4 linked regions of the Sus scrofa genome follow. The protein of the gene in region 1 interacts with the protein of each later gene in a pairwise test. Links are inferred from orthologs where the notes say so. Each region holds a gene or a part of one and is shown on either strand. Other genes may lie near its edges. The genes, in order: MIF4GD, EIF3G, DDX19B and DDX19A.

Region 1 (8,101 bases):
CCAACACCGCCAAGGTCCGATCCGCTGAGGTTTTTCTTCCTTTGTATAAATAGACGCAGGTACATTGTAACAGAAACGGGGTTACACACCAGGTTTTATCACCTTTTTTTCCATTTACCAACTTGTCTTGAAGAGATGCTTTGAATTCGGGCAGGGAGAGTGGGTGAGAGCCCAGGACCAAGAGGGGAGGCCCTGCTCTCAACAGAGATTTCGCGCCAGCAGGTGTGGCTGGGGGTGGGTGCCTCGGGAGGAGCGGTGGGGGACGAAGGCCGACCGGGGCCCAGGCCGAGGCCAGATGACGGAAGCCCTGGCCTCCAGGCTGCAGGGCTTCGGCTCGATTCTTTATCGCGTTCCTGTCATCCTCCTCGTCATCAGGAGTCCCTGAAGCTTCGGGAGGGGAGGAAGGCTTGAGCAGAGCTGTGCCTCGGGGACACGCCGAGTCACAGTTTGCAGTCAACTGGAGGTGGCCAGGCTGGAGGGGTGGCGCTGGTCAGGCTCAGAGCTAACGAGGGCCAGGTTCAGATCTGCTGCCGAGGGGACCAGGAGGGACAGGGGCACGTCAGAGGCACCTCTGGGCGGTGGGTCCAGAGCTCTCACTGGGTGCTTGAGAGCCCCTGGCCGTGGGAGCCTCCTGGGCAGGAAGCAGCTCTGTCCAGTGCTGATGTGCAGCCACTTCATCGGTTAAGGCTGCATTGGCCCAGTTGGAAGAGCAAGCATGAGGCTTATTCTGTCTTTTTTGTGTTCATTCCTGCCTCTGGCAAGTATTTCCGGGAGCTTGAGTGCCCCAGGCTGTGTTGACGAGAGAACCGAGTCCGTGTCCGTGTCTCCATCGCTTTCTCTCCCCAGGTTCGAAGCTACAAGGGCCTCCTGGACTGCGCCAGGCAGGTGCTGCGAGAGGAGGGCGCCCAGGGCTTCTTCAAAGGCCTGTCCCCCAGCCTGCTGAAGGCCGCCCTCTCCACGGGCTTCGTGTTCTTCTGGTATGAGCTCGTCTGTAACCTCTTCCACCGCCTGAGGAAGGCGGACAGCTAGCCTGGACAGCAGGAAGGGTGGCCTGGCCCCTTGCCCGGAGACGCCCTCCTGAGAGAAGACTCGATCCACAGTCTCGGGTTGTGCTGCGATCAGGTGCTGCCTGGACCCTGCTCCAGGCCAGCTGTCCTGACCACGAAGAGCTGGGCAGGAGCCGTAACTCCACCAGCTCGGACGCCACCAGGAGGGCAGAGGCGTTTCTCCACGCGACAGCATTTTCCTTGGTCTGCGGGAACCTGACCCTGCCCGTCAGAAGCTGGAAGCTGCCACCTGGCACAGACTCTAAGGGCAACAGCTGCCCTCCTGCATGTCTTACCTCGTCTGCCCGGAGAACTCTCCCGGCTCTGGGCGGAGCCGCAGCCCCCGTGTGAGGCAGGGATCCAGCCCTTTCCAGGGTCTGGTCCCCACACTTGACTTCTCTCTCCCACCGACTCACTTAATAGACATCAAGGCTGGAAGCAGGCTCCGTATCTTCTCTCCATCGCCCCATCCATCACATCCTTCACAAAGGAGGAGGGAAGGGAGCCCTGCTCGCCACTTGTAATTTTTTTTTCCTTTTCTAATTTTACTTTTATTTATTCATTTTTTTGTTATTTTCTTCTCTTATTTTTTTTTCCTACTTTCCTGAATTCTATTTTTCTCAGCATTTGCATCCCCCAGGCAGCTTTGCTTTTGCTCCTGGGTGAAGAATCCCAGCTGCGTTGCTCCTTTTATAAACCCAGCCAGGCTCAAATCTTCATGTCTAGAAGGCATCATTGGGCCTTCCTGTTGTGGCTCAGCAGGTTAAGAACCCAACTAGTATCCGTGAGGATGTGGGTTCGATCCCTAACCTCGCTCAGCGGGTTAAGGATCTGGCATTGCCATGAGCTGTGGTGTAGGTCACAGATGTGGCCAGGATCTGGCGTTGCTGTGGCTGTGGTGTAGGCTGGCGGCTACAGCTCCCATTAGACCCCCAGCCTGGGAACTTCAATATGCTGTGGATGCTGTGGGAGTGGCCCTAAAAAAAAGCTCATCATCACTCACTTCTCTCTCTGGGCAGGCCTGGCCCCAGCCTGTGGGCCTTGAGGGAAAGCAGATACTAAGCAGCCCTGCAGACTGGGGGGATGTGCTACGGGGAGGGGGTGTGGGTAAAGGCAGCACCCCTTTTCCCTGGTCTACCGGGGATCACCCCTCTTTCACTGGGGGGCTGGGTCAGCTCTCCTGGGTGGGTGGGAGCCTACAGCTGAGCCACTGGGCAGCCGCTGCCTGCTCAGGCTGCTCCTCCTGGGTCCAGCAAGGCGTTGTGTGCGTCCTCTGTAATCCCAGAAGGAAGGGGTTGAACAGGCAGCCTGGTGCGAGCACAGCTGGTGCCCTGGAGTCTTCAGGGCACAGGGGTTTGAGAGGTGAAGAAAATCTACAGAACATAACCACCACCTCCCCCCCAGGTCTCCTCACGCCCAGGCCCCCAGGGGAGCTCGGCCTGAGGGGTTGGCCCTGCAGAGGGAGCCCCACGCTGGCCTCACCTCGGCTCTAGCTCCAGCCTTCTTCCTAGCATGTGGTCTTGGGGGCTGTCACGGCTCTCAGTCCCTCTGGATCCTGGGCTCCTGCACGCCGTTACTGCTTCATCTCTGGTCTGGGGTTTTGTGATGTGTCTGGGACCCAGAATCCTGAAGCTGTCCTGCTCTTGGCAGCTGTGGCTGGGGGGCCCCCACACCCACAGGGGTTTGGCAGTCAAGGCTTGGGGCTACAGGGAGGCAGCTGCCTGAATGTATTTTTTATGAAATTCCATTGAAGTGAACTTGATTCTGAGATTCTGCTGAGACTGTCTTCCTTGTTCATTTTCTGCTGACCAGCTTGACAGGAGAGAGCTTTGGATACAGAAAACCGCCATGGACACTTCTTGTCTAATCGATGGGACAAGGCAGTTCTTTGCCAGCCTCTTCTGTGTGCCCTCCTGCAACCCAGGGCTGACCTCAGGGGTGGCCCTGTCTGGACTGCTGCGCCCCGTGCCTCCCCCCAGCCCCAACCAAGACAGACTGAGCCAGGGGGCTTGCGCAACCTCAGGGTCACTCCTAACACCTCCCCTCTGCAAGCTGGCACCTGGGACCCTTTCTCTTGGGTTAGCCCATTGATTTTCAACTAGTTTTACCATTAAATAGCGTGTGTATTTGGAGTAGGAGAGGGGCTTAATGGGACTCGATCCGGCCCTTACCACCTTCCCGCTCTCACCTTGAGAGGTGGGGTGGGGGTAAAAGTGCCACCACCTGCGAAGTCCTGCCCCTCCAGCCATCCTCTCGGCCCTCCCACCCCCCGGGCTGAAGGCCACGCCCCCCGCAGGCTCCTCCCACACCGCGCGGCCAGGCGAGTCTCCTGACCCCGTTTTAACCTGAGCCCTGGTGTGGGGGCGGGGCGAAGGGGGGGGTGCCAGCGCTCAAGACCGAGGGCTTCATGCCGGCCGCGGAGCACATCGGGCCCAACGCCGAGCAGCCGTTGTGGTCCCGGACAGGCCGTGGGAGAACCAGGTGAGGAGAGGATAGCGGCGGTGGGAGCAGGGTCACCGGCGTCCTGCCTGGCTCCAAGCTCCGAACTTCCGGGCGTGCCCGGTGGCGCGGCGGGGGCAGCGTCGTCGGGGCTCCGGCAGGTGGCGTCGGCGAGGCGGCCGGGCCAGGCCCCGCCCCCCTGCCCTGGGCCCCGCCCCGCCCCCTGCACTAGGAAGTGACCTAAGCGGCAGCAAGGCGCGGCCGGCCTCGCCAGCAGCGCCGCGGGCGCGGGCCGCGCGCACCATGCCAGCCGGACGGCCTCTGGGCACGCGGGCGCGGCGCCGGCGTGGCAGGTGGGTCCTGGCGCTCCCACCATCTCTCCACCCCACGGGACACCGGACGGTGGGCTGCGCTGAGCCGCCGGGAAGGGCGTTCCGAGCTTAGGGAAGCTGCCCAGGTCTGGAGAACCCTAAGGCTATCTCCGAGTCCGGAAAGGGGGGACCACTCCTGGAAGATACGTAATCCCGCTCCCCTCCTTAAGAGAAAGGATCTAGAATGGAACTGAGGAACTGGGAATCCTGGGTGGGCCAGGCTGAGTCTCTACCACTCAGGAGGCCAGTTTAACCAGTCCATCCTGGGGAGAAGCTGGCCAGGAAAGGGGGCGTCAGGGCGGCAGAGACGCTTCTGCGCCCAGCCCTCTGGCCAGCCTTATCCCGTGGGTTGGAGGGGTGGGCTCTCTGGACCGAGGACTTTGACTAAGGTTGAGTTGGGGAGAGGGGCTTGGAACTTTGCAGGGACAGAGCTGTCCACAGCGTGGAGCCTGTAGCCATCTCACTCGCTGAGAATCATGCTGGACCAGCAGCTTCCAGACCGGCGTATATAGGCAGGAAAAGTGTCCAATTATCGACCTCTTCATCCCCCCAGCCCATCACACCCCACCTCACCCCAGCCTTGGTGTCAGCTGAGAATAATCCTGCCTCCTGCTGGGGCTGGAGAGTAGAGGTCTCTTTCCTCTTGTGTAATCCCAGAAGCTGCAGGGCTTCTTTAACTGAGCAGCAGGTGCCTGGCCAGCCTCACCACCAGAAGCCAAGCTTTGTGGGCACCTAACCAAGCCCTGAATGCCAAAGACTGCCCAGGAGCACCTGTCCCAAGCACTGGCCAGTTCTGCCCAGGGCACATAGGGCTGGGAACCCTGGCGCCACGCTCCACACCCAAGGCCTCTCCCTTCGCTGCTCCTCCCCAGGTGCTGTCACTCATCCCACCCCAGTAAAGAGCACCTGAGGCTGGATGGTCATGGGGGAGCCTGGTAGAGAGGAGTACAGAATCCAGTCTTTTGATGCAGAGAGCCAGCAGCTGCTGAAGACAGCACTCAAAGGTGAGCGCGGGGAGCCTCCCGAGCCTGGGTCCAGAGCTACACAGAAGGGCCCAGGGGGACAGGACCGGAGGACTGAGCCGTAACGCCCAGGCCTCTCCCTTCAGTTTCTGAGAATGGGAGTCAGCAACATAATTCTGGAACTGGAAGACAAGCCCATGTAGGCCAGTATTTGGGAGTATGAATCATAGAGTCACCCTTCCAATCATAAAGCTTTTTTTTTTTTTTTTTTTTTTGTCTTTTTTTGCCATTTCTTGGGCCGCTCCTGTGGCATATGGAGTTTCCCAGGCTAGGGGTCTAATCGGAGCTGTAGCCACCAGCCTACACCAGAGCCACAGCAACGTGGGATCCGAGACGTGTCTGCGACCTACACCACAGCGCACGGCAACGCCGGATCCTTTAACTCACTAAGCAAGGCCAGGGACTGAACCCGCAACCTTATGGTTCCTAGTTGGATTCGTTAACCACTGCGCCACGACGGGAACTCCATAAAGCGTTTTTTTAAAAGGTTACGTACGCAGGACAGGAGGGCGAGGCACAGAGGACGCAGTTCCTGCCCTTCAAGCCCTTACACAGGACCTGGTTTCTGTGTTGCTGCAAGCAGCTCTCTTCCGTGTGCAGCACCGCCTGACCTGGGACAGAGGATGGAGTGTTCTGCTTGGCAGAGGAGGAAAGTAGTGGTCCTGGACCCGTGCCTTCTGCAGCACTCAGGACAGAAGTTTGCCTCAGCTAACGATTAGCGATGCCTATCACATGCCAAGCTAAGCCTCTGGGGAGGCCCCGCCTGGCCCGCTCTTGTCGGGGGCTCATGTGTGCATTGTGAGAACACTTCCTTTGGTGGACGGCTGTCAAAGACATTGTTATTCAGGGTTCCGTCCTCACCCTTGTGCCAGGAAAAGATGTGTCCTAAAAACCCAGCATCTTCCATTCCCTAACAGCTGCGTAACCCTCCCTGTTTCCGCTGATTGGGCCACCCTAGGAGGCTCATGGCCAGAGCTGCTCCTGCGTGCGGTTTCCTTTCTGTTCTCTGGTCTCTTTAAATGGAAGGGCGTCACGGGAGTGCTCGCTCTTCTGCGAACATCACGAGCCTTTAGAAGCAGGTGGAGGCAAATGTGATAATTAAGCACCCCGAGATTCCCCACCTGTCTTTACCCTAGATCCAGGTGCCGTGGACTTGGAGAAGGTGGCCAATGTGATTGTGGACCATTCTCTGCAGGACTGTGTGTTCAGCAAGGAAGCAGGACGCATGTGCTACGCCATCATTCAGGTTGGGTGGGGTTGGTACAGCAGAGGGGAGACGCTTGGAGGAAGGTGCTTCAGAGGTGGGCAGAGGCCTGGCTAGCCAGGCAGCGATGCACAGGGCTGGCCTCAGAGGCACAAGAGGACAGCAGGGGCCTCAGCTTTAGAAGCTTGGGTGGAATTGTGACAGCACTGTCACGCCCCTTCACCAGCCTTTCTCCCACTCACAGGCGGAGAGCAAGCAAGCTGGCCAGAGTGTCTTCCGCCGCGGACTCCTCAACCGGCTGCAGCAGGAGTACCAGGCTCGGGAGCAGCTTCGAGCACGATCCCTGCAAGGCTGGGTCTGCTACGTCACCTTTATCTGCAACATCTTTGACTACCTGAGGGTGAGGGCCCCCCCACCCCCACCAGCCACATCCCGTGCAACAGAGATGGCCTGTCTCCTGTGCCACCAAGCCAGTGCTGTGGCGCTCACTCTCCCCCGCAGGTGAACAACATGCCCATGATGGCCCTGGTGAACCCGGTCTACGACTGCCTCTTCCGGCTGGCCCAGCCGGACAGTCTGAGCAAGGAGGAGGAGGTGGGTGGCCTGGGCACGGAAGCCTGGGGAGGTAGTCTTTGGCGCAGCTCACTGTCCATGGAGACTTTCGAGGGCATCACTTGCTGGGCAGGAGCTTGGTGGGGGCATGTAAGGCCTGTCACAGTTACAGGGGAAGTTGCTAGGTCTGGAATCCATCCAGAGCAGAGAACAGCCAAAGCCTCCTGGCTCAGAGGCTGCCTTCCCAGTAGGAAGGCCAACCTATGATAGGAATGGTGAGCATCAGCCAGCTGAGGGTACAGGTGGCCCAGAAACCAAATAGGGGGAGGGGTGGGGAGTAGGATTAAGAAGCAGTTTGGAGGAGTTCCCATCATGGCACAGTGGAAATGAATCCAGCTAGGACCCATGAGGTTGCTCAGTGGGTCAAGGATCTGGCATTGCCCAGAGCTATGGTGTAGGTCACAGATGGGGCTCGGACCCCGTGTTGCTGTGGCTGTGGTGTAGGCTGGTGGCTACAGCTCCAATTAGACCCCTAGCCTGGGAACCTCTGTGCTGAGAGTGCAGCCCTAAGAAGACAAAAGACCAAAAAAAAAAAAAAAAAAAAAAAAAAAAAAAAGCAGTAGTTTGAAGACAGGGCCAGAGTCCAGTCCAGCCTAGCCCACTGAGAGACCTCAGGCAAATCTCTCAACTTGCTCCTTTCACACAAGCAGTGGCCAGGGCCCACGGGGTGCTGTGAGGATGAAGTGGGGAAGCGTGTGTACAGGGCCAACCCTGGTGCCTGGCACACAGCACGTGCTCAGTAAATGGCTGCTCTGTGTGACAGGCTGGCTCTGCCCGGGGTCACCTCCCGCTGCCCCCTGCAGGTGGACTGCCTGGTGCTGCAGCTGCATCGCGTCGGGGAGCAGCTGGAGAAGATGAACAGGCAGCGCATGGATGAGCTCTTTGTCCTGATCCGGGATGGCTTCCTGCTCCCAACGGGCCTCAGCTCCCTGGCCCAGCTGCTGCTGCTGGAGACCATCGAGTTCCGGGCGGCCGGCTGGAAGACGACCCCGGCTGCCCACAAGTACTACTACAGCGAGCTCTCGGACTAGGGCCCCAGACCAGGCTTCCTCCCCAGCAGCGCTGGCCTTCCTCCTACCCACTCCCCAACCTGGCAGTGGGGTCCTTGTCTCACCTTCCAGACTTTCAAAAGCACTCAAGACGTTTCCCACTCACACGGTGGTGCGGCCCTGAGCACCTTCCCTCCCTGACCCCAGGACGGGAAGACCCTACACACCTGCCCCAGTCCCATCAGCCTTTCTCTCATCCCCTTCAACCTGGACCAGGCAGAGAAGGGCAACTCCTGACAAGCACTGCACTAACCATCACTGCAACAGCTAGCTTGGTGCCTCAGTTCCCCATCTGGAAAATGGGGAGCCATCGCCATGGGTGGGGTGCTTTGGGGTATCAAAGGGAGAAGCAGAGCAC
Region 2 (8,035 bases), on another chromosome or scaffold:
GGAAGGCAGGTGCACTGTGGCCACACCGGAGGCCTGCATCAAGTGCCTAGGAACGGCAGATGACAACCAGCTTGAGGCCTACAGAGTCTATGGCCTGGTGCTGCTGGCCCTGGGCTGTGGCCTGCCGCTGCTGCTCAACCTGGCAGCCTATGGCGCCCTGGGGCGGGCCGTGCGGCGTAGCCACGGCATGACAGCGGCCAACAAGCTGCACGTGATAGTGCTGGTAGCCAGTGGTGTGGCCCTCTATGCTAGTTCCTATGTGCCCTACTATGTCACACAGGTGCTCAACGTGTATGCCCGGCAGCGCTGGAGGGCCCTCTGCCCAGGCTTCACAAGCACAGCCCAGGCTGAGAAGGCACTGGACTGGAGGACATATGTGGCCTACCAGGTAACACGGGGCCTCATCCCCCTGGCCATCTGCATCCACCCGCTGCTCTACATGGCGGTGGTGCCCAGCCTGGGCTGTTGCCGCCAACACTGCCTTGGCTGCAGGGAGGGCCAGACCCCGGAGAAGGCCGAGTGCTCCAGCCAATCCCTGCCACTCAATGTCACAGCTACTCCCAAAACCTCAGGGCCCCAGTCCCCTGAGTTGAGCCCATGACCTGGACCATCTCTAGCCCCCTCCTCATCACCAGATCCTGGGACCTGGCAAAAGAATAGGGGCTGAGAGCACAGCAGGCCCCTGGCCCTGAATCCTCAATAGGCCCTAAGCGTACTCCTCCACAGAAAGGTCTAGAGTGGGACCAGGGAGCACTGAAGCCAGAGTGGCAGGAACTTCTGCCACAGCACCAACTCTGGACAGGGCCAGGAAATAAACCCACATCAGGGAGGGGGAGGAAGGAGGGCAGGATGGCCCCACCCCCCAACAGTGTGAGCGACATCTGTGAATAAATGGAACAGCACTGGGCAACTGGAGATTTTTTATTACCCTTGGAGACCCCTGCCCCCAGCCTTCGGTCACTGAAGGATCCCAGGGCTGGGGACGGAGCAGCAGCAGCTGGCTTAGTTGGTTGACGGCCTAGAGAGAGAGAGAGACGTGAGGTGGCTGAGAATGGTTAGCGGAGAGGCTTCATACCCCTAAGAGAATCCCAAGACCCCCCACCGCCACACACAATAGGGACCTCAAAAGGGATGGGGGGTGGGGCAGAGTGAGACAAGGTGGTGGCCCAGGACACACAAAGAGACAGACCGGCAGTGACCAGCCTGGTCCTGCCCCAACCCTCCACACCAGAGGAAAAGGACAATAAATGATCTGTGCCCCAGGACAGGCATGGTGAATGTTAACCTGGTGCAGGGCCTGCAGCCAGCCTGAGTGTCAGCAGTGACGCTGTGTGGGGGGAGGGGCAGGGGTCTTACTTGGCCCACTCGACGTTGAGGATGAGGTGGTCATAACCGAAGCCAGACACCCCAGCAATAGCACGGGCGGCATCCTCACGGCGGTGGAAGCTAATGAAGGCAAAGCCCTGGAGGAGGGGGTGGAGTCAGGGGCACATGGGGCACAGACAGGACCAAGGATCCCTCCCCATCCCCATGGCCACCAGCCCACCTTGGACTGGCCAGTGGTCTTGTCCTTGGCTAGGTAGATGCGGGAGATGGAGCCAAAGGGCCGGAAGAGCTCCTGCAGGTCGGTCTCACGAGTGTCCTCAGACAGGTTGGTGACACGGATGGTGGCATTGTCATCGGCTGAGTGGGCAAGGAGAGGTGTCTGTGAGGGGCCGCGCCTGCCCGTGGGATGATCACAGGATACAGGGAAGTGCCCGCCCCCGCCGGCCCGGCAACTGGGTGCCCTCACCTCTGCGGTTGGGCTGCATGGACTCCCCGCGGCGGCTGGCCCCGTCCCGCAGGCTTGGAGGCACGTACTTGCCCGTCTTGTTCTGTGTGGCCTGCACAGGCTCCAGCTCTGGAGGACAACAAGGTCGGGTCAAGCCTCTCCCGGCACAGATGGAGGGACCCATCTGCCCCAGGATGCCGGCAGCTCTGGCCACCATCCAGCCCAAGAGCCGTCTGTCAAACCACACACACGGTTGGGCCCTTCGAGGCCTGAGGGCCACAACTTAAAAGTCACATCCGGGAAGCCGACGTCATTTATACACCCGCCAGCAGCACAAGAAGTGAGAACCCACAGTGACACCCAGTCTCACAACATAGGAACACAAATACAGGTACACGGGATAGGGACAGTCCCCAGGTTCCACCCCCTGTCCCCCAACACACACACGGCAGGTGACAAATGAGTCGCACACATAAGTCAGGGGCGTAGAGCTGTCCAGACTCAAACTTACAGTCACATGAGTGAGTCTGCCCTGGGTGTGTGCATGCAGACACTGCAGGCAAAGTGTATTTATTATGTGCAAGCCTACACGAGCCGCTCTCACAGCCCCTAATGAGGAGAGGACAGGGGACATCGCCAGCAGTCACAGCAGCCACCGCCAGTCTCTCTCATACACACACACAAGCATGGACTGTGGCTGCAGCCTTGCTGTTGTGTGGGAGATGACAACTGCCAACAGCGGTGGCCCTGTTCAGACAGCAGGTGACAACCTACAACTCTCCTGGAGGTGAACACAATCCCTGTCCCCCGAGTCCCCAGGCCCCAGCACCTCCAGGCAGCTTCTCCTTCTCGCCAGTAGACAGGCCCAGCTGCTCGGCCAGCTCCTTCTGCATGGGCCCCAGTGTGTCCTTGTAGGGGCAGCGGGTGGTCCAGTGGTCGCCCTTGCAGATTCGGCAGGACACGATCTTCTGGCCCTTGAGCTTGTTCATTGGGTCCTCCTCTTCCTGGCAGTTCAGATCCTGGCAGGGCAGGCAGAGGCAGCTCAGACGGGACTGCCGCACCCCCCGCCACTGCCGCCACCACCCTGGCCACTGGCCCCAGCCTCCTGGCCTACTTACCTCTTTGCTGGTGATGAATGTCATGGACACATCATCACTGACCGTGGTGGTGGCCACATTGGGCCCTGGTGGGTCGAACTCTGAGTTCCCAAACTTCTTCCAGTTCTGAGCTCAGGGTGGGATGAGAGACAAGTCAGAGCAAGGCCAAGCAGGACCCCTCTGCTGGCTCCCTAGACTTACAATGTCTGCTCCAGGGCCTTGAACCCCATTCTCCAGCCTCCCCCAAATGACCCTCAGAGCAGTGACAAAGACAGTTCCTGTTCCCTGAGCGCATGCCAGGCCCTAGCTTCACACCAGTTCCAGAGGCAAGGGCAGCTCTAGGCTCCATGCTCCAGATTAGAGGACTGAGGCTCAGGGACAATCCCCTCCACAGCCAACAACTCCTGCTGGGGTGGTGCAGGTAGCGGACCAGCTCCTACCAGGGAGTGATGCTCAAGGGTGCGTAGGGGTCACCCAGACTTCCAGGGGCCCAGAGCTAGCTAAGCAATCTGAACCCTAGCTGCCTCCTCCAGGAAAAGGGACCCCAATGGACCCCCACCTCCCTGGAATTCCAGGGGAACTGAATGGGAAAACGCTTCCTGCAAAGAGCTTGGGTCTAACGCAGAGAAAGCGCACAGGTAATTGTGCCAAATGTATTTACTGCCATGACTTTTTCTGCTACGACCATCTCAGGGGAGGACTTGGCTTTGTTTCTGCTGGCGGACAACCCCCCCTACTCCTGCACATGCTGGGCTTTTCAGGACCCCGACAGAGTGCAAACACCCTTAGGCCTCAGTTCCGCTCCAACAAAATTGGTACAGTTAAGGAGTTCCCATTATGGCTCAGCAGTATCCATGGCTTCGATTCCCAGCCTTGCGCAGTGGGTTAAGGACACGGCATCGCCCTGAGCTGTGGGTTAGGTCACAGGTGTGGCTACGATCACGAGTCGCTGTAGCTGTGGTGTAAGCTGGCAGCTGCAGCTCTGATTCAACCCGTAAACCGGGAACTTCCATATGCCCCGGGCATAGCCAAATAAATACAGGCACTGGGGAAAAGGATTCTTATTTTCTCTGAGTCAGCCCTGGGGGAGGCCCCAAGACAGGATGAGGAGGGTCTTACCTTCCTCCTTGCCACAGCCTTTGAGGCCTTCCGAGTCTCAATTCTGAAGGTGCGGACAATCTGTGGGTAGGAGAGGGGAGAAATTTGAGCTTCCTGCTCCTTAAGGTTCCGAGGGCCTGGGCCAGGGTATCTTCCTCATCAACCCACCCAGCACACACCACTTTCTCCTAGTCCAAGAGCCCCCAAGCAAAGGGCATCTACCTCCTCCCCCAACCTTCACCTTGAATTTCTTGCCGTCCTCATCTATCTTGTACTCGGTCACTGTCTTGATGTTTCCATTGATGACCTCCTTGGGAGGTGGCAGTGGAGCTGGGAGAGGGGGAGAGACAGAGGAACTGAGCCCTGGGTACTGGGGACCAGGCAGGAACTCTGCAGGGGAAGAGGCAACCCAGGGATGGCGGGGAGGTTGTCACTCACCTCCCGGTAGTAGTTCAGGCTCCGGGCTGGTATCCCCGGTGGCCAGAGGGATTCCCTTGAGGAGCTCGCTGGTGACACATTTGTCTGTGAGAGGGAGTGTGGGGAGCTGGGGTCAGCTGGGGGGTGGGGGAGCTCCCAAGCTGAAATGGAGGGACCTTTGGGATGATGCCCCTCCCGGGAGCTAAGAAAGGTGGGACCAAGGGTAGGGGACTAGCCAGGAAGTGTCCTGGGAGAGTCGTGCAGGGACATGGAGCTGACTGTAGTGACTTCCAGCAATGCCCGGCATAGAGGATCCCAGGCATGAAGGCAGGGGCGGGCCAAAGGCATCCCCGTGCTAGTACAAAGACAGGAGAGAGGCTGTGACAACTTCCTCCCCGGAGCAGGGGAGCAGCTAGGCTGGTACCAAGGACTTTGACGGTGGCATGGGAGGAAGAGGGACTGGCCGGTGAACAACTGTAATGGGAGATACAGGCTGGCCTGATGAGGATGGCGCGGGGCAGGGGCTGGCCGTGAAGGGAGATTCTGGGTCAGACAACGGCGCCAGGGTCGGGGTGGTGGGGTTGGAGCAGGCGGCAGTGACGGGCTGGGGGCTGGCTGCGGTGATCCTGGGCAACAGGGCAAACTCACCGTCCTCTCCCTCCTCCTCCACCTGGTCGGCCCAACTGGGCTTCGAACTGCGGGGACAAGTTTGCCGCGGGGGAAGGCTGGGTGAGACGAGGCCCGGATCCCACGGCCTCGGGGCACCCGAGCCCCATAATACGCCCTAGGACCCCCAATCTGCCTCCCAAGCCCCCCTCCACGACCTCATACTCACTCAAAGTCTCCGGTAGGCATAGCTAAAACCTTCCCCACGCAGCCCAAGCCTGGGCCAAAGACCGGAAGGTGGGGAGAACGAGACTTCCGGTTCTGCCGCCTAGAGCAGCCCGGCCGCTGCGCCCACAGTGCCGCCCTGTGGACAGAGGTAGAGGCGCTGGCTTATTAGAGGCTGGGCTCTGGTACTAGGTAGTTGAGTAGAGGCGCAGTTCTAACCATTTTTTTTTGGCCCCGCGGGTGGCGTATGGAAGTTTCCCCGGTCAGGTATCAAATCCCAGCCGCTGCTGTGACCAATGTCACAGCTGTAGCAAGTCCAGGTCCTTAACCAGCAACACCACAGCAAGAACTCATTTATCTTCTTTTTTTAATTAATGATTTTTATTTTTTCCATTATAGCTGGTTTATAGTGTTATGTCAATTTTCTACTGTACAACGAGGTGACCCAGTCACACATACATGTATACATTCTTTTTTCTCACATTATCATGCTCCATCATAAGTGACTAGATATAGTTCCCAGTGCTGTACAGCAGAATCTCATTGCTTATCCATTCCAAAGGCAATAGATTGCATCTATTAACTCCAAGTTCCCAGTACATTCCACTCCCTCCCCCTCCCCCTTGGTAACCCCAGTCTGTTCTCCATGTCCATGATTTTCTTTTCTGTGGAAACTTTCATTTGTGCCATATATTAGATTCCAGATACAAGGGATATTGTAGAGTATGTGTCTTTCTCTTTCTGACTTATTTCACTTGGTATGAGAGTCTCTAGTTCCATCCATGTTGCTGCAAATGGCATTATTTTGTTCTTTTTTATGGCCGAGTAGTATTCCATTGTGTATATATACCACATCTTCTTAATCCATATCTGTCGATGGACATCTAGGTTGTTTCCAAGTCTTGGCTATTGCAAATAGTGCTGCAATGAACATATGGGCGCATGTATCTTTTTCAAGGACAGTTTTCTCTGGATATGTGCCCAAGAGTTGGATTGCTGGGTCATATGGTAGTTCTATATATAGTTTTCTAATTCATTTACCTTTTAAAAAATTTAAAGTTATTAATAACAGGAGTTCCCATCATGGCTCAGTGGAAATGAATCTGACTAGAATCCATGAGGATGCAGGTTTGATCCCTGGCCTTGATCAGTGGGTTAAGGATGCAGCGTTGCTCTGAGCTGTGGTGTAGGTCACAGACGAGGCTCAGATCCTGTGTTACTGTGGCTGTGGCGTAGGCCAGCAGCTACAGCCATGATTCAGTCCCTAGCCTGGGAAACTCCATTTGCCACGGGTGTGGGTTAGGCCCTAAAATCTCCGTATGTTGCATGGTGGTGGATGCGACCCTAAAAAGACAAAAAAAAGTTATTAATAGCAATAAAGCTCAGTTATTGAATTCTGCGAGAACTGTGGAGAGAAAATTATTTCCATTTTACAGCTGAAGAAACCAAAGCTAGTCTTCCTTGTTTGGGAAGAGCTTTCCTACACTTGATCTTAGCCAAAAGGCCGAGAAGCGATGGAAGAGCTTTCCTGATTCAAAATGATCAAGCAGTCAAGTGGCCCCTTCAACCATTCTCCCTCCTTTCCTTTTTTTCCTTTTAGAGCTGCACCTGCAGCATATGGAGGTTCCTAGGCTAGGGGGTCTCATCGGAGCTACAGCTGCTGGCCTACACCACAGCCACAGCAACGCCATATCTGAGCTTCATCTGCGACCTACACCACAGCTCACAGCAACACTGAATCCTTAACCCAGTGAGTTAGGCCAGGGATTGAACCCACATCCTCATGGATATTAGTTGGGTTCCTTATGGCTGAGCCACTATGGGAACTCCATCTTTTTTTGTTTGTTTCTTTTTTTGGCAGTTCTCAGGCCAGGGATGGAACCTGTGCCACAGCAGTGACCAGAGTTACAGCAGTGACAACACCAAATCCTTAAGCCACTGAGCCACTGGGGAAAATCCCTCCCTCCTTTAGTAACATTCTTGGCTTCTCTAATATAATCTTTTCCATTTACTTGTTTATAATCCAGCTGTCCCCCTAGAGCATTCTCAACGGGAGTGATATGGCTCCCAAGAGAGCCAAAATAAATTCTTAGATGGCTTAAAAAAAAACCTTAGACATTGTGATGGCTTATAGCCCTCCTAAGCCAACCCTCCAGGACAAAATATTACTTATGAATATTTAATTTCTATTGTTAGGGGAAAATTAAATGTAATTAGATTAAATTGATTTAAATTAAGGATAGGAGTTCAGTTGTGGCTCAGTGGAAACGAAACTGACTCCCATCCAGGAGTTCCCATCATGGTGCAGCGGAAACAAATCCGACTAGGAACCATGAGGTTGTGGGTTCAATCCCTGGCCTTGCTCAGTGGGTTAAGGATCCGGTGTTACCGTGAGCTGTGGTACAGGTTGCAGATACAGCTCAGATCTGGTGTTGCTGTGGCTCTGGCGTAGGCCAGCAACTGTAGCTCTGATTAGACCCTTAGCCTGGGAACCTCCATATGCCACAGGTACAGCTCTAAAAAGACAAAGGACAAATAAATAAATTAAATAAATTAAAAAACAACAAAACTGACTCCCATCCATGAGGATGCAGATTGGATCCGTAGCCTTGCACAATGGGTTAAGGACCTGATGTTGCCATGAACTGTGGTGTAGGTTGCAGACCCATCTCAGATCCCATGTTGCTGTGGCATAGGCCAGCAGCTATAGCTCCAATTCCACCCCTACCCTGGGAACCTCCATATGCTGCATGTGTGGCCCTAAAAAGACAAAATTAATTAATTAAGGATAATTCCATTTCTCACCTAGAAAGGAGCAATA
Region 3 (7,459 bases), on another chromosome or scaffold:
GGCTAGGGATTGAACCTGTGTCCTCACGAATACTAGCTGAGTTCAGTAACCACTGAGCCACAATGGGAACTACCCCTGTTTGGTTTTTGTCATCTACATTTGACAGATATTTTACTTATCCACATAATGAAGTCATGGTGTATATAAATGATATAAATGTACATATATTTGCTGATATAGAAAGATTATCATTTAATTATCATACCAAAAAATTTTTATATGGTTCCACTAAGAAAAAAATATGCAGGAGTTCCCATCATGGCTCAGTTGTTAACGAATCCGACTAGGAACCATGAGGTTGCGGGTCTGATCCCTGGCCTTGCTCAGTGGGTTAAGGATCCAGCGTTGCTGTGAGCTATGGTGTGGTTGCAGACATGGCTCGGATCCCGCGTTGCTGTGGCTCTGGCTTAGGCCGGTGGCTACAGCTCCGATTCAACCCCTAGCTTGGGAACCTCCATATACTGTGGGAGCAGCCCTAGAAATGGCAAAAAGACAAAAAAAAGAAAAATGAAAAAATACGCATATGTAAATTTACATAGAAAAACATCTAGAAGTTTCTAGCTCCAAATATTAATAGTTTAGGAGGGGTAGAGATTACAAATTATTTCTTTTACTGTTTTTCACTGTTTTCTAATTTTTCTTTTTAAAAAATTTTTAATTTATTTATTTATATTTTGCTTTTTAGGGACGCATCTACAGCATATGGAGGTTCCCAGGCTAGGGGTCTAATCGGAGCTACAGCTGCCAGCCTACACTACAGCCACAGCAATGCCAGATCCAAGCCACATCTTCAACCTACACCACAGGTCACAGCAACGCCAGATCCTTAACCCACTGAGCGAGGCCAGGGATTGAATCCACAACCTCATGGTTCCTAGTCGGATTCGTTTCTGCTGTGCCATGATGGGAACTCCATTTTCTAATTTTTCTAAAATGAGCATGTAGTAGTTTTTTTAAATAATAAAAGTTAAAAAACAAGTTGCATCAAGACACATACGGCTCAGCAAGCATCAAAGGCAACGCATTCTCTTGTATCTTGGATGGACGGTTGAAGCCCATGGCGTAGACTCCCTGGAGAAGCTGTGGTTTCCTAGGAAAAGTTAAAGATGAAAGTCATAGTCTCTTTGGTTGAGGAAAGGAGGCAAATACCTAACTAACAATACTAGATTTGTGAACCAGGCACTGTGTGAGTGCAGCTTTTACAAATTACCTGGAAATTTTACTTACTAGCCCAAAGCAGCTAAATTATTTCATTAAACCTGTGTTAGCTAAAAATGTTCTGTTGTGATGAAAAACAGATATAACAGGCCTAGGATTTCTATCTAAACCAAAGGGGAGAGTCAGAAAGTAAATACTCACAGTCGAAGCTCCTCGAAGGACTTCACTGAGTATAGCGGGGAGTTGGGATCCCGCTGCAGGACTTCCACCTGGTTGGTGTTATCAACAAGGTTGCTTCTGATCAGCTTGTTGAGTAAGGACTGGGCAGCTCTGTCCTCTGTCAGCAAAAAAGAGCGTGAAGATTTTAAAAAATCCGTGAAATCCACCATGAGTTCATATGAATTCAATCGCCATTAATATTTTAAGCAATAATATGTGTTTGTATCAGGACTCCTAATTCAAGGTATAGGTTAGTTTTGCTTTATAAATATAATTAAAATAGTTTGTTTTATTAAAGGGAAAGATTATGACACTCTTATCTGTTGAGACCTCATATTCTTCTCCAGAACTCCATTCCTAACAGCTGTCCTTTCTTGAGATTATTGATTCCTCCTATCAAAACCCAAATATTCACTCCCCAGTTTGCACTCAATATAAATTTAAAATTATGAGCTTAAAAATCTTATCACAACAACAGGAAACAACAAAGTCTGTATCTTGATATCAGATAAGCTACTGGAATCTCTTTTGTTGTTGTTCGCATCTTGTTATCCATGTTAAATGTGTCCAAATACCATTATAAGAGTTCCTGTCGTGGCTCAGCAGTTAACAAACCTGACCAGTATCCATGAGGACGAGGGTTCGATCCCTGGCCTCGATCAGTGGGTTAAGATTCTGGCGTTGCTGTGAGCTGTGGTGTAGGACACAGAAGCAGCTTGGGTCTGGTGTTCCTATGGCTACGGTGTAGGCTGGCAGCTATAGCTCTGATTTGACCCCTAGCCTGGGAACTTCCATGTACCATGGATGCGGCCCTAAAAAGCAAATAAATGAATGAATGAATAAATAAATAAATGAAAACAATTAGAATTCCTTTACCAATGACCATGCCGAACTTTAATTAGCACTGTGACTCCCATTAAAGTCCAGCCAAGTAGAGTGTAAAAATGAAATCTCCTAACATTCCGTTCTCTTAGACTGCAGAACTTCATGTATACCCAATGAGGTTATGTTACCTTTCTCTTCTTCATCTGTCTTCTCTGCATTTGCATTGGTCTTGACAACAGCACCTTTATCAGACACAAAGTGGCCATCATTCAAAATCACATCTCATACCCAACAGCTGAGACAATTCAAATTCTATGAGACACTAGAAATGTAAAGGCCTGGGGAGCAAAAAAATAAATGAGGAAACCAAGCCACAGATAAAAACATTGCATTGTTTCTATATAAACAAAAGTATGAAAACTGTTACTTATATTTCAGCTCTTTTCTATTGCAAGGCCTCTCACTATACCTCAAAAACTAATATTAATTTCCTTTAGAGCATCAATATTTCTCAAATGTTATAGAAAGATGATTACAGCAATGATCAAAACTACTTTGATACCCAAAAGAGGAAATCTATGTAAATCATTTTATCAATGTATGAACACAATAGTGTCATTAAGAGTCTGTGTGTATAAATTGTTGATTAACAGAAATGCATATTCGGTGTTGTGGTTACGTAAAAATATACAGAAAAAGATAATTCAGAGTGTGGTAAATATTACTTCTCCCCTATAATATTAAATACATCAATAAAATTTAATGTAAATCTTAGATTTTTGGTAGATAAGATTTCAGAATAGTTACAGTAGGTTAACCCTGTGGTTGCCCATACTTTATCTCATCTCAAATTAAGGAATTTTTTTTAAATAAATAATTTTTGACAATATATTTTCATGGTTTACTAACCAATTAGGCATCCTCATACTTATATAAAGCACAATACAAGACAATCCGGACAGCTGTTATGTTAAAACATAAAATTAATTGTTTTCAAACTAGCATTTAGTTACTCACCATTGGCATCTGGTTTGACTTTCTCGTCCTTAAGATGCAAGTTGCTCAACTAAATGGAAAATATGGGGGGGGGGAGTGTCAGGAAAATTACTTAAAAAGATTTTGCATCAGTAGTGCCTCACCCAGTGAAGCTGGGGAGAAGTGACCCACTCTCATGACCTTCTCAGTAGAACATATTCGCTAGGTTGCTCTGCTGGGCCCCTTTTGTTTACTGCATGTTAGAGTGAGAATAAACAAAATATCCACAACTACAGCAGTAGAAAAAAACTGGTTATACAGCAGCTCAAAATCTATACTTCCTAATTATAATCTCTAGAAAGAATTATAATTTGTGAGTTTGCTTAATGCCCTGATTACACAGATTCTCTCAATAAAATGCCATCTGAGTTGTCACTGTCATTTTTTTTTTTTTTTTTTTTTTTTGTCTTTTGCTATTTCCTGGGCTGCTCCCTCGGCATATGGAGGGTCCCAGGCTAGGGGTCCAATCGGAGCTGTAGCCACCGGCCTACACCAGAGCCACAGCAACGCAGGATCTGAGGCACATCTGCGACCTACACCACAGCTCACAGCAACGCCAGATCGTTAACCCACTGAGCAAGGGCAGGGACCGAACCCACAACCTCATGGTTTCTAGTCGGATTCGTTAACCATTGCGCCACGACGGGAACTCCATCACTGTCATTTTTCAAACAAGGAAATTTAGAAGAGATTCTGAGAAATGCATTCATTCTTCAGACAGAGAACACTGAGGAGGACTGCAATGAAAAGCATCCATGGGTGGGAATCAGTGATGCTGCAGGATATGTTTGAGCCGGAGGGCCACAGCATGTGTATGCTGCCTCATTTGGGTCACCTTGTGCTGGATGTCTGTTTTTTTTAAACTGGAAATGGCCTAGAGCATCATGGCACACTTTGTGACCAAAATACCCAGCAGGATGAAGTGTGACTAGAAAGGAAGGGATAGAGCAAAGACAGTTCAAAGAAAGATTTGAACTTTTTTTTTTTTTTTTTTTAAGGCTGTAACTGTGGCATATGGAAGTTCCTGGGCTAGGGGTCGAATCAGAACTGCAAATGCCAGCCTTTGCCACAGCCACAGCAACACTGGATCTGAGCCTCATCTGCAACCTACACCACAGCTCTCAGCAACGCCAGATCCTAATTTAACCCAGTGAGTGAGGCCAGGGATCAAACCTGCGTCCTCATGGTTGCTAGATTTGTTATCACTGAGCCACAAGGGGAACTGCCTGAAATGGCTATTACTTAAAGCACCACCTGCACAGGGTTTTTTTTTATGTCTTGAGGTTCATTTCTACTTTTCCTCTAAGTCCAAGAAAGGAGAAAGTGGGGGAGGAATGAAAAAACTGTTTTAATGAGTAGATAGCTGGAAATGGAAGAATTTCACTTCTACTGATGGAAGTGAAAAGGGAGTTTCTGGTGTCTGTTGGGGTAGGGAAGAGGAAGCAGCAAGAACACACTGGAGAGACTAGCAAGAAAGGAAATTGTCGAAAAAGGAGATCATTATAAAGCAGTACCAATCCTTCATTAATTCTGAAGGACAGAGAACATATTAACAGAGTGAATGAGGCAACCAGCAGTGTATGGTGTATAGGAGGTGTTCTCTATATTCTAATCTTCACTAAACCACTCCTCTACATCTGGCCAGTGAACCTCATTTAAGCCTAATATTCAGACTGACTTACTGGCAATATTTACAAGAGTAGGGTTAATAGTACTCACACCTAGGGTAATAATTGCTACCTTTCCCCCACCTTTTCGACCACACAGTGGCATATGGTCTCTCAGGCCAGAGATCGCATCAGAGCCACATGTGCAACTTACGCCACAGGTGTAGCAACACCGGATCTTATAATCCACTGTAACATGAGATCAAACCAGCAACGCCAAAGAGACAAGCTGATCATTAACCCATTGAGCGGCATCGGGAACTCCAATAATTGCTATCTAACATAAATGATATAGCTGAGATGTAGATGAGTTAATGAGGTGTGAATGAGTTAGAAATATCCTTTGCTGTAAAGCATTTCTTTCTCTTTTTTTTGGTCTCTGCCTTTTCTTGAGCCACTCCCGTGGCATATGGAGATTCCCATGCTAGGGGTCATATCGGAGCTGTAGCCGCTGGCCTACACCACAGCCACAGCAACGTGGGATCCGAGGCGCGTCTGCGACCTACACCACAGCTCACGGCAACACTGGATCCTTAACCCACTGAGCAAGGGCAGGGACCGAACCCGCAACCTTATGGTTCCTAGTCAGATTCGTTAACCACTGAGCCACGAAGGGAACTCCTGTGAAGCATTTCTTTTTCTTTACTGTACCCATGGCATGCAGAAGTTTCCAGGCCAGGGATCTAACCTGAGCTACAGCAGTGAAAATGCAGAATCCTTAACTGCTAGCAATCAGGGAACTTCCAAAGCATTTTAATACTCAGTGATAAAAGGACAAACTATCCTTTTGTTGATATATTAAAATTGAAGTTAAATAAATACAATGCGATGTATAGAAAAAGTTGATAGCAACAACGTAATCAAGTTGTTTTGATTACAATATATCAGAATTCTGGAGAGCTTCCAGCAGATTCTGAAAACACACTCAGATCTCCCTTGGCTGTAAGGATCTCAAAGTCTCTACAGCAAAAAGCACAGAACAGTGAAGTTCGTTCGCATCACTTACTGCAATGTCAGTGAACTGAACACTGAAACGTGGAAAGTCCAGTTCAGATTCCTTCCTTTGCTCTGTTTATTTTATTTTATTTATTTATTTTGCTTTTTAGGGCAGCACCCACAGCATATGGAGGTTCCCAGGCTAGGGGTCCAATTGGAGCTGCAGCTGCCAGCCTACACCACAGCCACTGCAATGCCAGATCTGAGCCATGTCTGCGACCTACACCACAGCTCACGGCAATGCCGGATCCTTAACCCACTGAGTGAGGCCAGGCCCCAAAACCTCATGGTTCCTAGTCATTTCTGCTGCGCCATGGGAATTCCTGCTCTGTTTATTTGAATCAAAAAAGAGAAACCAATTTCTTTTGCAACTTCACTGGAAACCACTTTGTAATCCAAAAAACTAACCAAAAGGCAAAAAAGCCAAAACACCCACCTTATAATATCCACATTTTTCAATGCCATTAATTATTTTAGTTTTTAAGATATGTTAAAATAACTGGAAACTATATAGTTACATTGCATTTTCTTCAAAAGATACTTGAGAAAGGATTCTTGAGACACAAGGAGGAAGACTTAATGGTAAGGGAATTATACCAAATAAGGAATGCCTTAGGCACAATGGTGAAATGGGACACACAGTCTTATCATCAGAGTTTTCTATTCTTTGCCCTCCTCTAAATTGAAATTTCTGAAGGAATATGGGGAACAAAGAGGAACCACAGGGGAACGAGGAAATAAACATAAATAGGATCCAATATTTTCTTATTTAAAATGACTAAGAAACAGAGCTTGATGGATACTTAAAATATAGGAACCTTGCACTGTACATGTCACAGTCACCTGTCAGGAATTCCACAAGGCAAAAGGAAACAACGGTCTTCACTCATCTGTTCAGTTTTAGAATATTGGGAGCTATTATAATATACCTGTGTGTGATTAAACAGATTCACAAAACTTAACCAGGTACAATATGGACAAGTAATTTAAAAGATTCCTTGTACAGCAGAGATTATTACAACATCGTAAATCAACTATACTTAAATAAAACTTTAAAAAATGAGGAAAAAAAAAGGTTCCTGCAACAAAACTGGATTATAGATAACAACTATAACAATAGCTGTCACTTATATAGCACTTATTTCAGGCATGTCCATAACTCAGGCAGGTGCTATGATTATCCCCATCTTACAGATGTGGAAACCAAAGACACAGAAAAGTTAAGCAATTTGCACAAGGTCATATAACTAGTAACTGATGGACCCATTACACAGATCCAAGTCTGTCCGGCTACAAAGTCTTAGGCCTTAACTTTTAAACAATAGTGCCTCTCATATATGATACCAATCTCAAAAAATAATAAAATAGGAGTTCCCGTCATGGCGAAGCGGAAATGAAGCCAACTAGGAACCATGAGGTTGCAGGTTTGATCTCTGGCCTCGCTCAGTGGGTTAAGGATCCGGAGTTGCTGTGGCCCTGGTATAGGCCGGCAGCAACAGCTCTGATTAGACCCCTAGCCTGGGAACCTCCATATGCAGTGGGTGTGGCCCTAAAAAGAC
Region 4 (8,259 bases), on another chromosome or scaffold:
CCTCACTTGCTTTACTTCCCTGCTATACTCTGCTCCTATTCTCCCCTGCTGAAATTTGCTTTTGTGCTGGGCCATGCCTTGGAAAAGGTGATAATCCTGTGCATTCACTCTCCAATCTCTGGGGTTTTTTTGGGGGGTTTGTTTTTTTTTAGGGCTGCACCTGTGGCATATGTAAGTTCCCAGGCTAGGAGTTGAATCAGAGCTGCAGCTGCTGGCCTATGCCACAGCCATAGCAACATGGGGTCTGAGCTACGTCTGCAACCTATACCACAGCTCACAGCAACACCAGATCCTTAACTCAGTGAACAAGGCAAGGGATTGAACCTGTATCCTCATGGATCCTAGTCTGGTTCGGTAACCACTGGGCCATGAAGGGAACTCCTGCACTCTCCAATTTCTCATTTTGAGACCATGTTTCCTCCCCTAGCACACTTCAAAGCAGAAACAAAAATGTGGAGTTCCCACTGTTGCTCAGCAGTAACAAACCTGACTAGTTTCCATGAGGATACAGCTTTGATCCCTGGCCTCGCTCAGAGGGTTAAGGATCCGGCATTGCCATGAGCTGTGGTGCAAGTTGCAGATGCAGATCAGATCCCACGTGGCTGTGGCTGTGGCTATGGCTGGCAGCTGTAGCTCCGATTTGACCCCTAGCCTGGGAACTTCCATATGCCACAGGTGCTGCCCTAAAAAGCAAAAAAAAAAAAAAAAAAAAAAAAGAAAAGAAAACAAAGAAAGAAAAAAGAAAAGAAAATTTCAAAGACAGTGCCAGGACTTACAGATGATGTTAAGAATTTTTCACCTCCAGGATTCTAGCTATGATGGGCATGAGGAAAGACAGAAAGTTACTCAAACAGGAGTCCTCTTGGAGTTCCTGCTGTGGCACAGTGGGTTCAGAATTCAAATGCAGTAGCTTGGGTCACTGCAGAGGCACAGGTTTGTTTTGTTTATCTTTTCTAGGGCCACTTCCCATGGCATATGGAGGTTCCCAGGCTAGGGGTCTAATCAGAGCTGTAGCTACCAGCCTACATCACAGCCACAGCAATGCGGGATCTGAGCCTCGTCTTCGACCTACAGCACGGCTCTTGGCAACACCGGATCCTTAACCCACTGAGTAATGCCAGGGATCGAACCTACAACCTCATGGTTCCTAGTCGGATTTGTTAACCACTGCATCACGATGCGAACTCCGAGACAGGTTTGATCCCCAGCCCAGCACAGTGGGTTAAAGGATCTGGTGTTGCAGCTGCAGCTCAGATTCTATCCCTGGTCTGGGAAATTCCACAAGCCAAGGGCACAATTCTCTTTACCCCTGATGTTCCCTATTAGTAATTTTCCATCCATTGCCCTGCTCCTTGGCTATAAATTCCCACTTGTCCATGCTGTATTTGGAGTTGAGCCTAACCTTCCCCCCCCAACACAAAAATCCCATTGCAGTCATCTTTATACCTCTGGCGATGGTCCTGAGTAAAGTTTGCCTTATCATCTTTAGTAAGTGTCATCAAATACTTTTTTTTCCTTCAGAAATTCCACATCCTTAGCAACATGTGGCGGGTCAATCTTTAATTTTGGCCATTCTAGCCAGCGAGCAGTGGTATCTCATTACGACTGAATTGCATTTGCTTAATAACTAATGATTTTGAGCTACTTTGCTTGTGCTTACTGATCACTTACTCTCGTCTAAAGTGTTCAGGTCATTCATACATTTTGACATTTTGACATAGATGTTGCAATTGGGAGTGTGGACACGGAAGCAGCCTAAATGTCCATCAGCAGAGGAATGGATAAAGAAGACATGGTACAAACATACAATGGAATATTACTTGGCTATAAAAAAAATGAAATAATGCCATTTGCAACAATCTGGATGGACGTAGAAACCATCATATTAAGTGAAATTAGTCAGACAGTGAAAGACAAACATCAATATCACTTATATCACTTTATAAAAAAAGGATAAAAACAAACATATTGCGTAACAGAAACAGACTTACGGAAAAACTTATGGTTACCAAAGGGGATGGGGTGGGAGGAATGGACTGAGGATTTGGGTTTGGCATATGTACACTAGGTATATGGAATGACTGGTCAACAGGGACCTGTTATACAGCACAGAGAACTCTACTCAGTATTCTCTGATAACCCGTGTGGGAAAAGAATTTGAATTTGAAAGAGAATGGATATGTGTATATGTATGACTGAATCACTTTGTTGTACAGCAGAATTTACCACAAACGTGCAAATCAACTATACTTCAATAAAACTTTTTTTTAAAAAAAGAATCCAACTGCAGCAGCTCAGGTAGTTGGGAGGAGCAGGTTGATCCCCTGCCCTGCCCAGTGGGATGAAGGACCAGCATTGTCACAGCTGCAGCACAGATCACAGCTGTGGCTTCGATTCAATCTTTGGCCTGGATGTGCCACAGGTGGGGCCATAAAATAAAAAAAGAAAGAAATGTGTCCTAGAGTAATACATAATTTAAAAAATGTTATGGCCTCACTCCCGCATATAGAAGTTCCTGGGGCAGGGACTGAATCCCAGCCACAGCTTCAGCATCACAGGATTCTTTATCCCACTTGGGCCACAGTAGTAACTCCTAATGTTATATATTTTGAACTAAAATCATTTCGTTTGTTTGTTTGTTTTTTGTCTTTTTTCTAGGGCCGCTCCTGCAGCACATGGAGGTTCCCAGGCTGGGGGTCTAATCGGAGCTGTAGCTGCTGGCCTATGCCAGAGCCACAGCAACAGCAACGCGGGATCCGAGCTGTGTCTGCGACCTACACCATAGCTCACCTCAATGCCAGATCCTTAACCCACCGAGCGAGCCCAGGGATGGAACCCACAACCTCATGGTTCCTAGTGGGATTCGTTAACCACTGAGCCACGACGGGAACCCCTAAAATCTTTATTAGTCTATTCAACCATACATTAAAAAATATTTATTGAGAGTCTACCAAGTACCATGCACTTTTCCAGCTTCGTTAGTCAGCTGTGACAGATAAGAGCTTTGCCTTTGTTTGAAGAGTTAACATTTTAGTGGGGAGAGGCAAAAAGTAAACTGGAAACAAGATGATTTTAGATAGTGTGGAGACGTTCAATGAAGTGTTGTCAATTAATAACAGGACATGGGAAAAAACCTATATCCCATAAGAGGAGTAGAGAAAGGAGAGTTAGGTAATTTATGTGCTGTGAGACTGATGGAATATAACGACATTAAATCGATAATTATGACATTAAAAATACTTCGCCGGTATAGAAAAAGTCAAACTTAAAACCGTGTACTTTGTTTAGGACTATGTAAAACACCTGTGCTATGATGCACATGTACAGAAATTAGAAGGACCCAGGAGAAAAAGAATACGCTGTTGTACTTAGAATAGATTTACAAGGAGATCCTGCTGAATAGCATTGAGAACTATGTCTAGATACTCATGTTGCAACAGAAGAAAGGGTGGGGGAAAAACTGTAATTGTAATGTATACATGTAAGGATAACCTGACCCCCTTGCTGTACAGTGGGAAAAAAAAAAAAAAAAAAAAAAGAATACGCTGTTGTATTTTTTTGTGGTGGCATTATGGGGGTTTAAAGGCTTTTGCTTCGCTTTGGTTTTCTCTTACGCTTTATCTCGTTCGCACAGCAGAAACTGGTATGCTTCTAGGATTTTCCTTTGAGGAAAGCTTTACAGCTCAGAGACTAAAATATCTGTCATGACGCATGGAAGACTTAAAAAATAAAACTTACGTTATTTCAGTGTGACAGAGGGCAAAGAAGTGAAGGCTACAGGTTTCACTCCATACAGCTTAGGGCTCTTAAAGCACCAAGAGCTTGCTTCTTTGGAAACCGGCGGAAAAACATCGAGTTTGTGTACCAAGCCTGGCGGGCGAAGCCAGGGGAGAGGCGCGGCGCGCCGTGGCGCGCAATGGTGGCGTCTGGCGCCGGGCGGTAACTGACGTCACCTTCGCGCACCGCCGCTTCCGGTCCGCGAGAGTGTGGTTCTCGCGCTCCAGAGGATTAAAGTCTGGTGTTGCTGCGCTTGCCGTGGTTGTTTTCGCGTGTCGGCCTTCCAAGTCCGGGACAATGGCCACAGACTCGTGGGCGCTGGCTGTGGACGAACAGGAAGCGGCTGTGAAGTCGGTTAGTGTCTTCAGCTCCAGTAGGGGCGAACGTGACAGGGTAATAGGGCCCAAGCAAACCCTCTTTGGAGTCCAGGGAGCTCCCTGAGTTGGGCAGGCCCGTGGCCCACACACCCCTAAGGTTTGCTGTGGGGAATCTTAGGCCTGATTTTCGGCTAAGGCTGAGAGACTCATATGGAGCCTTTTCTCTTGATCTGTGCCAGTTAAAGACTTTCATCCTATGGCAAATCTATCCCTGGTAGTATGCTCTTTCCTGCATTGCACATTCTTCTAAGTGAGGATTGTAAGGAAAAGGCACATTTAGATGCTGATTCTTTTTCATGTGTTTTCGGAGTGATTCTGTGCTACTCTTACTAACGTTTTTTAGATGTGTGCTTAATACTGTTGGCATTTTGTAGCACTTTGCAGAATAACAGATTCAGCTTTATATTTAGTGTTTCGATCTGTTGCAAACGTTGGGGGAAGGCACTACAAAATTGTTTCATTGGTGTATGAAGTGACGTTTAATGTCATTACTGGATCTTTGATTAATGAAAGTCCATTCAACGGGAAAGTAATTATAGTTTAGAAACTGTAACTTTATGTTCTTATCTCTAAGCTACATCTGTTTAGTGGTAATGGACTATTGATTTTAAGAATACAGGGTTGTCTGATTGTTTTTGTTTTTTGTAGTCTGAAATCTTATGTAACCTTTTAATGTATAAATTACATTTCTTCTCCAGTCATCCTTTATTGCTTTGGGAGGATTTTCAGTTTCTCAGCAGAAAGTTGAAATGGACTAAATCCAGGAAAGAAGCTTTCAGTCTCGTTAGGAAGGCTAGAATGTGAGAAGTGCTGTGAAAATGGTGAGAAAAATATAATAAATGAACTCTGAGTGGGGAGAGAATGTTTATGAGTAGGAAAATCAGAGAAATTCCTTGTGAAGAAGTTTACGTTTGTGCTGGATAGTAGAGAATAATTAAGATGGAAATGAAAGTAAACAGCCTTTTAGAATGCACATAAGTGCTGGACTTCCATAGAGAACAGAAGTCAGAACTCATTTTTGCTGCAGCTTAAGGCTATTGGGTTGTAGTAGGAAAAGCGTAGAAAATAATGTAGAGAGTGTACTCTGGCCCTTAACTAAGAACTTAAAGAGGACAGCCTTTATTTGGCTGGTTTGGGATTTTTAAGGATACTGACAAGTTTGGATTTGAGAGCTGGCAAGATTTACTGGACTGCAAAGAATGGAATATTAGAAGTGATATCTAAAAGAAAGGAGATAATTGTGGAAGTTACTCTAATAGCCTGGAGATAGAGGGCCAATATTGAATGGTGAAAGTGAAGGTGAGGGGATAGATTCAAGATATAATTGTGGAGGTATAAAGATTTAGAAAAAAGAAGAGAAGGGAGATAAAGGCAAAGATTATTGTTTTCAACCTGGATCCCACAGGTGGTATTAATAATGTTCTAATAACACGATTGGAGGAGTGGGAGGAAGGGCAGATTTGATATGTAGAGTGATGAGTTCAGGTTTGGCTGTTGTGAATTTGAGGTAAGAAGGACAACTTGGTAAGTACCTGTGTTGGGAGTCACCAGGAGGTATCTAGGTTCAGTGATTTCCTAGCGGGGTGGGGGGGGGGGTTAGGGCAGTGAGCTTACAGGACCCAGCATGTAAGTATTCCCAGCTATGATTTATTACAATGAAAAGCAACATTAGCAAAAAGAAAAGGCCCATGTTGCAAAGTCCAGAGGCAACCAGGCACAAGCTTTCAGGAGTCCTCTCCCATTGGAGTCACAAACTCCACTTAATTCCTCTAGCCACAGATTGTAACAATACATATGAGGTGTTGTCAGGGAAACTTATTAGGGACTCAGTGCTCAGGGCTTTTATTGAGGGCCCATCACACAGTCATTCTTTGCCTAGCAGGTGCCAAAATTCCAGACTCCCAATAGGAAAGATGTCATCATGAACCACATGTTTTTATAAACATAGTGAACCCCTTAGCAGTTCTGGGGATGGTAGGAGGCCTCTCAAAATCCAAGTAGCCAGGGGCCAGCTCTGCAAGCTGACTTCCTGAGGATAGCAGTCATACCTGCTGTGTTAACTCTTTTCTGTACAGTACCCATCAGGCATATATGGAAGTGTGGCACTGGAGTTCAAGAGGAATCAGGTCAGATGTACAAAATTGACAGCCACAAATAAATCGAAAAGTAGCATATAGGATATAATTCTGTACTCTAGAGTTTAAATCTCATATTAGCACCAGATCTTCCGTAAAAGACAGTTGACTGAGAATTGGTTTCAAATCTTTTTAAACCTACAATCCTAATGTAGTTGTGGTATTATGGCTAACACAGATATAAACATACTTGGTGTCTGATTTTAACCGCTCTGCTTATTGGGTGGCTGGTGTAAGTTGATGTTTTAAAACATTGTTTCCTAGTAGTTGGGTAAGACCGTCCCCCATTTTTTTATTTTAGACTTGTGTACATTAGCTTAATAAATGCACTTGACCCCTGAGCAGTTTGGGGGTTATGAGCCCCCAACTCACCCTGTAGTCAAAAATCTCCAAATAACTTACATTGCTCCTCCGTATATATGGTCTCAAATCCTCGGATTCAGCCAGCTATGAGTTGAGTAATACTGTAGTATATATCCACGAATAAGTGGACCCTTGAAGTTCAGAACTGGTGTATGAAATAGAAAGGATCAGTTGTAATTCTTGGTATTCAGTTACCATATATCTCTGCTCTTAAGTGTTTCCTTTTATTCCCATTCAGATGAGTAATTTGCAGATCAAGGAAGAGAAAATCAAACCAGATACCAATGGTGAGTAACTACAAGCTACATGTGCATTTCTGCTCTGCGCTCTTAGTGACAATGTGGAAAGGAGCTTTCATTTAGCATATTTGCCACATGTCAGCACCTGATTTGAAAGCAAGTAAATTCAGTTTCATTACTGATCAGGATAGATTAGTTTTCCATATTTTACCTGGCTTCTGACTCCTTAAAATCAAGACTCTGGAGTTCCCGTCGTGGCTCAGTGGTTAATGAACCCAACTAGTAACCATGAGGTTGCGGGTTTGATTCCTGGCCTTGCTCAATGGGTTAGCGATCCAGCATTGCAGTGAGCTGTGGTGTAGGTTGCAGACGTGGCTCAGATCCCATGTTGCTCTGGCTGTGGTGTAGGCCAGCAGCTGTAGCTCCAATTAGACCCCTAGCCTGGGAACCTCCATATGCCGCAGGTGCGGCCCCTGAAAAGACAAAAAGACAAAAAAAGAATCAGGACTCACTATTGGATTGTACAGTCACTGTTCACTTAAAAATGTTTACGTTTTTTTATTTAGGTTTTTTTTTTTTTTCCTTGACTTTTTAGGGGCGCACCATGGCATAGGGAAGTTCCCAGGCTAGGGGTCGAATTGGAGCTGCAGCTGCCGTCCTACACCATAGCCACAGCAACACCAGATCCTTAACTCCCTGATCAAGGCCAAAGATCAAACTTGAGTACCCGTGGGTACTAGCCAGGTTTGTTACCACTGAGCCATGACAGGAACTCTCTAATTTAGTTTTTTGAAAGGTTAATCTGGGTTCAAATTTCAGAAATTATAGGCAGTTGAAAGGCCTCCTTCCTATCCTGGATCACCATTTACCCAGATTCCACTCCCCACCTGTATTAGTTTGCTAGAGCTTTTGTAACAAAGTATCACAAACTAGGTGGTTTAATAACAGAAATTTATTGTCTCAGTTCTGGAGGCCAGAAGTGTGAGATGGAGGTGTCAGGTGGGTTAGTTCCTTCTGAATGTTGTAAGGAACAGTCTAGTCTGTGCCTCTTCCCAGCTTCTCATGGTTTGCTGGCCATCTTTGGCATTCTTTGGCTTGTAGGAATCTCTGCCATCAACACCCCAGTCTTGGCCTTCATCTTCACGTGGTGGTCTCCCCGTGTGCATATCTATGTCCAGAAGTCCCCATTTACTTATTTATTTATTTATTTTTGTCTTTTTGCCTTTTCTAGGGCCGCTCCCTCAACATATGGAGGTTCCCAGGCTAGGGGTCTAATCGGAGCTGTAGCTGCCAGGCTACACCAGAGCCACAGCAACACCAGATCCGAGCTGCGTCTGCAACCTACAGCACAGCTCATGGCAATGCCAG

The links.
Region 2: the proteins of MIF4GD (region 1) and EIF3G interact in binary tests that used the Homo sapiens proteins (3 or more experiments, as listed by UniProt). The link is inferred for Sus scrofa from reciprocal best matches to the Homo sapiens genes MIF4GD and EIF3G.
Region 3: the proteins of MIF4GD (region 1) and DDX19B interact in binary tests that used the Homo sapiens proteins (3 or more experiments, as listed by UniProt). The link is inferred for Sus scrofa from reciprocal best matches to the Homo sapiens genes MIF4GD and DDX19B.
Region 4: the proteins of MIF4GD (region 1) and DDX19A interact in binary tests that used the Homo sapiens proteins (3 or more experiments, as listed by UniProt). The two-hybrid records come from large-scale screens. The link is inferred for Sus scrofa from reciprocal best matches to the Homo sapiens genes MIF4GD and DDX19A.

Annotation. Positions count from the first base shown.
Region 1 is NC_010454.4:6,043,952-6,052,052, forward strand, and holds the start of MIF4GD (MIF4G domain-containing protein), read left to right. Parts: upstream 1-3,343; 5' UTR 3,344-3,527; intron 3,528-3,715; exon of another isoform or gene 3,716-3,942; intron 3,943-4,728; 5' UTR 4,729-4,772; coding exon 4,773-4,860; intron 4,861-6,014; coding exon 6,015-6,124; intron 6,125-6,326; coding exon 6,327-6,482; intron 6,483-6,583; coding exon 6,584-6,676; intron 6,677-7,497; coding exon 7,498-7,725; 3' UTR 7,726-8,101. UniProt on the Homo sapiens protein: Functions in replication-dependent translation of histone mRNAs which differ from other eukaryotic mRNAs in that they do not end with a poly-A tail but a stem-loop. May participate in circularizing those mRNAs specifically enhancing their translation.
Region 2 is NC_010444.4:68,965,318-68,973,352, forward strand, and holds EIF3G (eukaryotic translation initiation factor 3 subunit G), read right to left. Parts: upstream 5,332-8,035; 5' UTR 5,239-5,331; coding exon 5,219-5,238; intron 5,079-5,218; coding exon 5,032-5,078; intron 4,489-5,031; coding exon 4,405-4,488; intron 4,297-4,404; coding exon 4,208-4,296; intron 4,048-4,207; coding exon 3,988-4,047; intron 2,995-3,987; coding exon 2,890-2,994; intron 2,791-2,889; coding exon 2,601-2,790; intron 1,901-2,600; coding exon 1,793-1,900; intron 1,684-1,792; coding exon 1,547-1,683; intron 1,464-1,546; coding exon 1,357-1,463; intron 1,019-1,356; coding exon 1,003-1,018; 3' UTR 904-1,002; downstream 1-903. Other genes in the region: P2RY11 (P2Y purinoceptor 11), read left to right, coding at 1-601. UniProt on the Homo sapiens protein: RNA-binding component of the eukaryotic translation initiation factor 3 (eIF-3) complex, which is required for several steps in the initiation of protein synthesis.
Region 3 is NC_010448.4:13,335,676-13,343,134, reverse strand, and holds part of DDX19B (ATP-dependent RNA helicase DDX19B), read right to left. Parts: intron 3,269-7,459; coding exon 3,220-3,268; intron 2,541-3,219; exon of another isoform or gene 2,445-2,540; coding exon 2,391-2,444; intron 1,496-2,390; coding exon 1,360-1,495; intron 1,091-1,359; coding exon 998-1,090; intron 1-997. UniProt on the Homo sapiens protein: ATP-dependent RNA helicase involved in mRNA export from the nucleus.
Region 4 is NC_010448.4:13,364,688-13,372,946, forward strand, and holds the start of DDX19A (ATP-dependent RNA helicase DDX19A), read left to right. Parts: upstream 1-3,950; 5' UTR 3,951-4,074; coding exon 4,075-4,131; intron 4,132-6,890; coding exon 6,891-6,939; intron 6,940-8,259. UniProt on the Homo sapiens protein: ATP-dependent RNA helicase involved in mRNA export from the nucleus.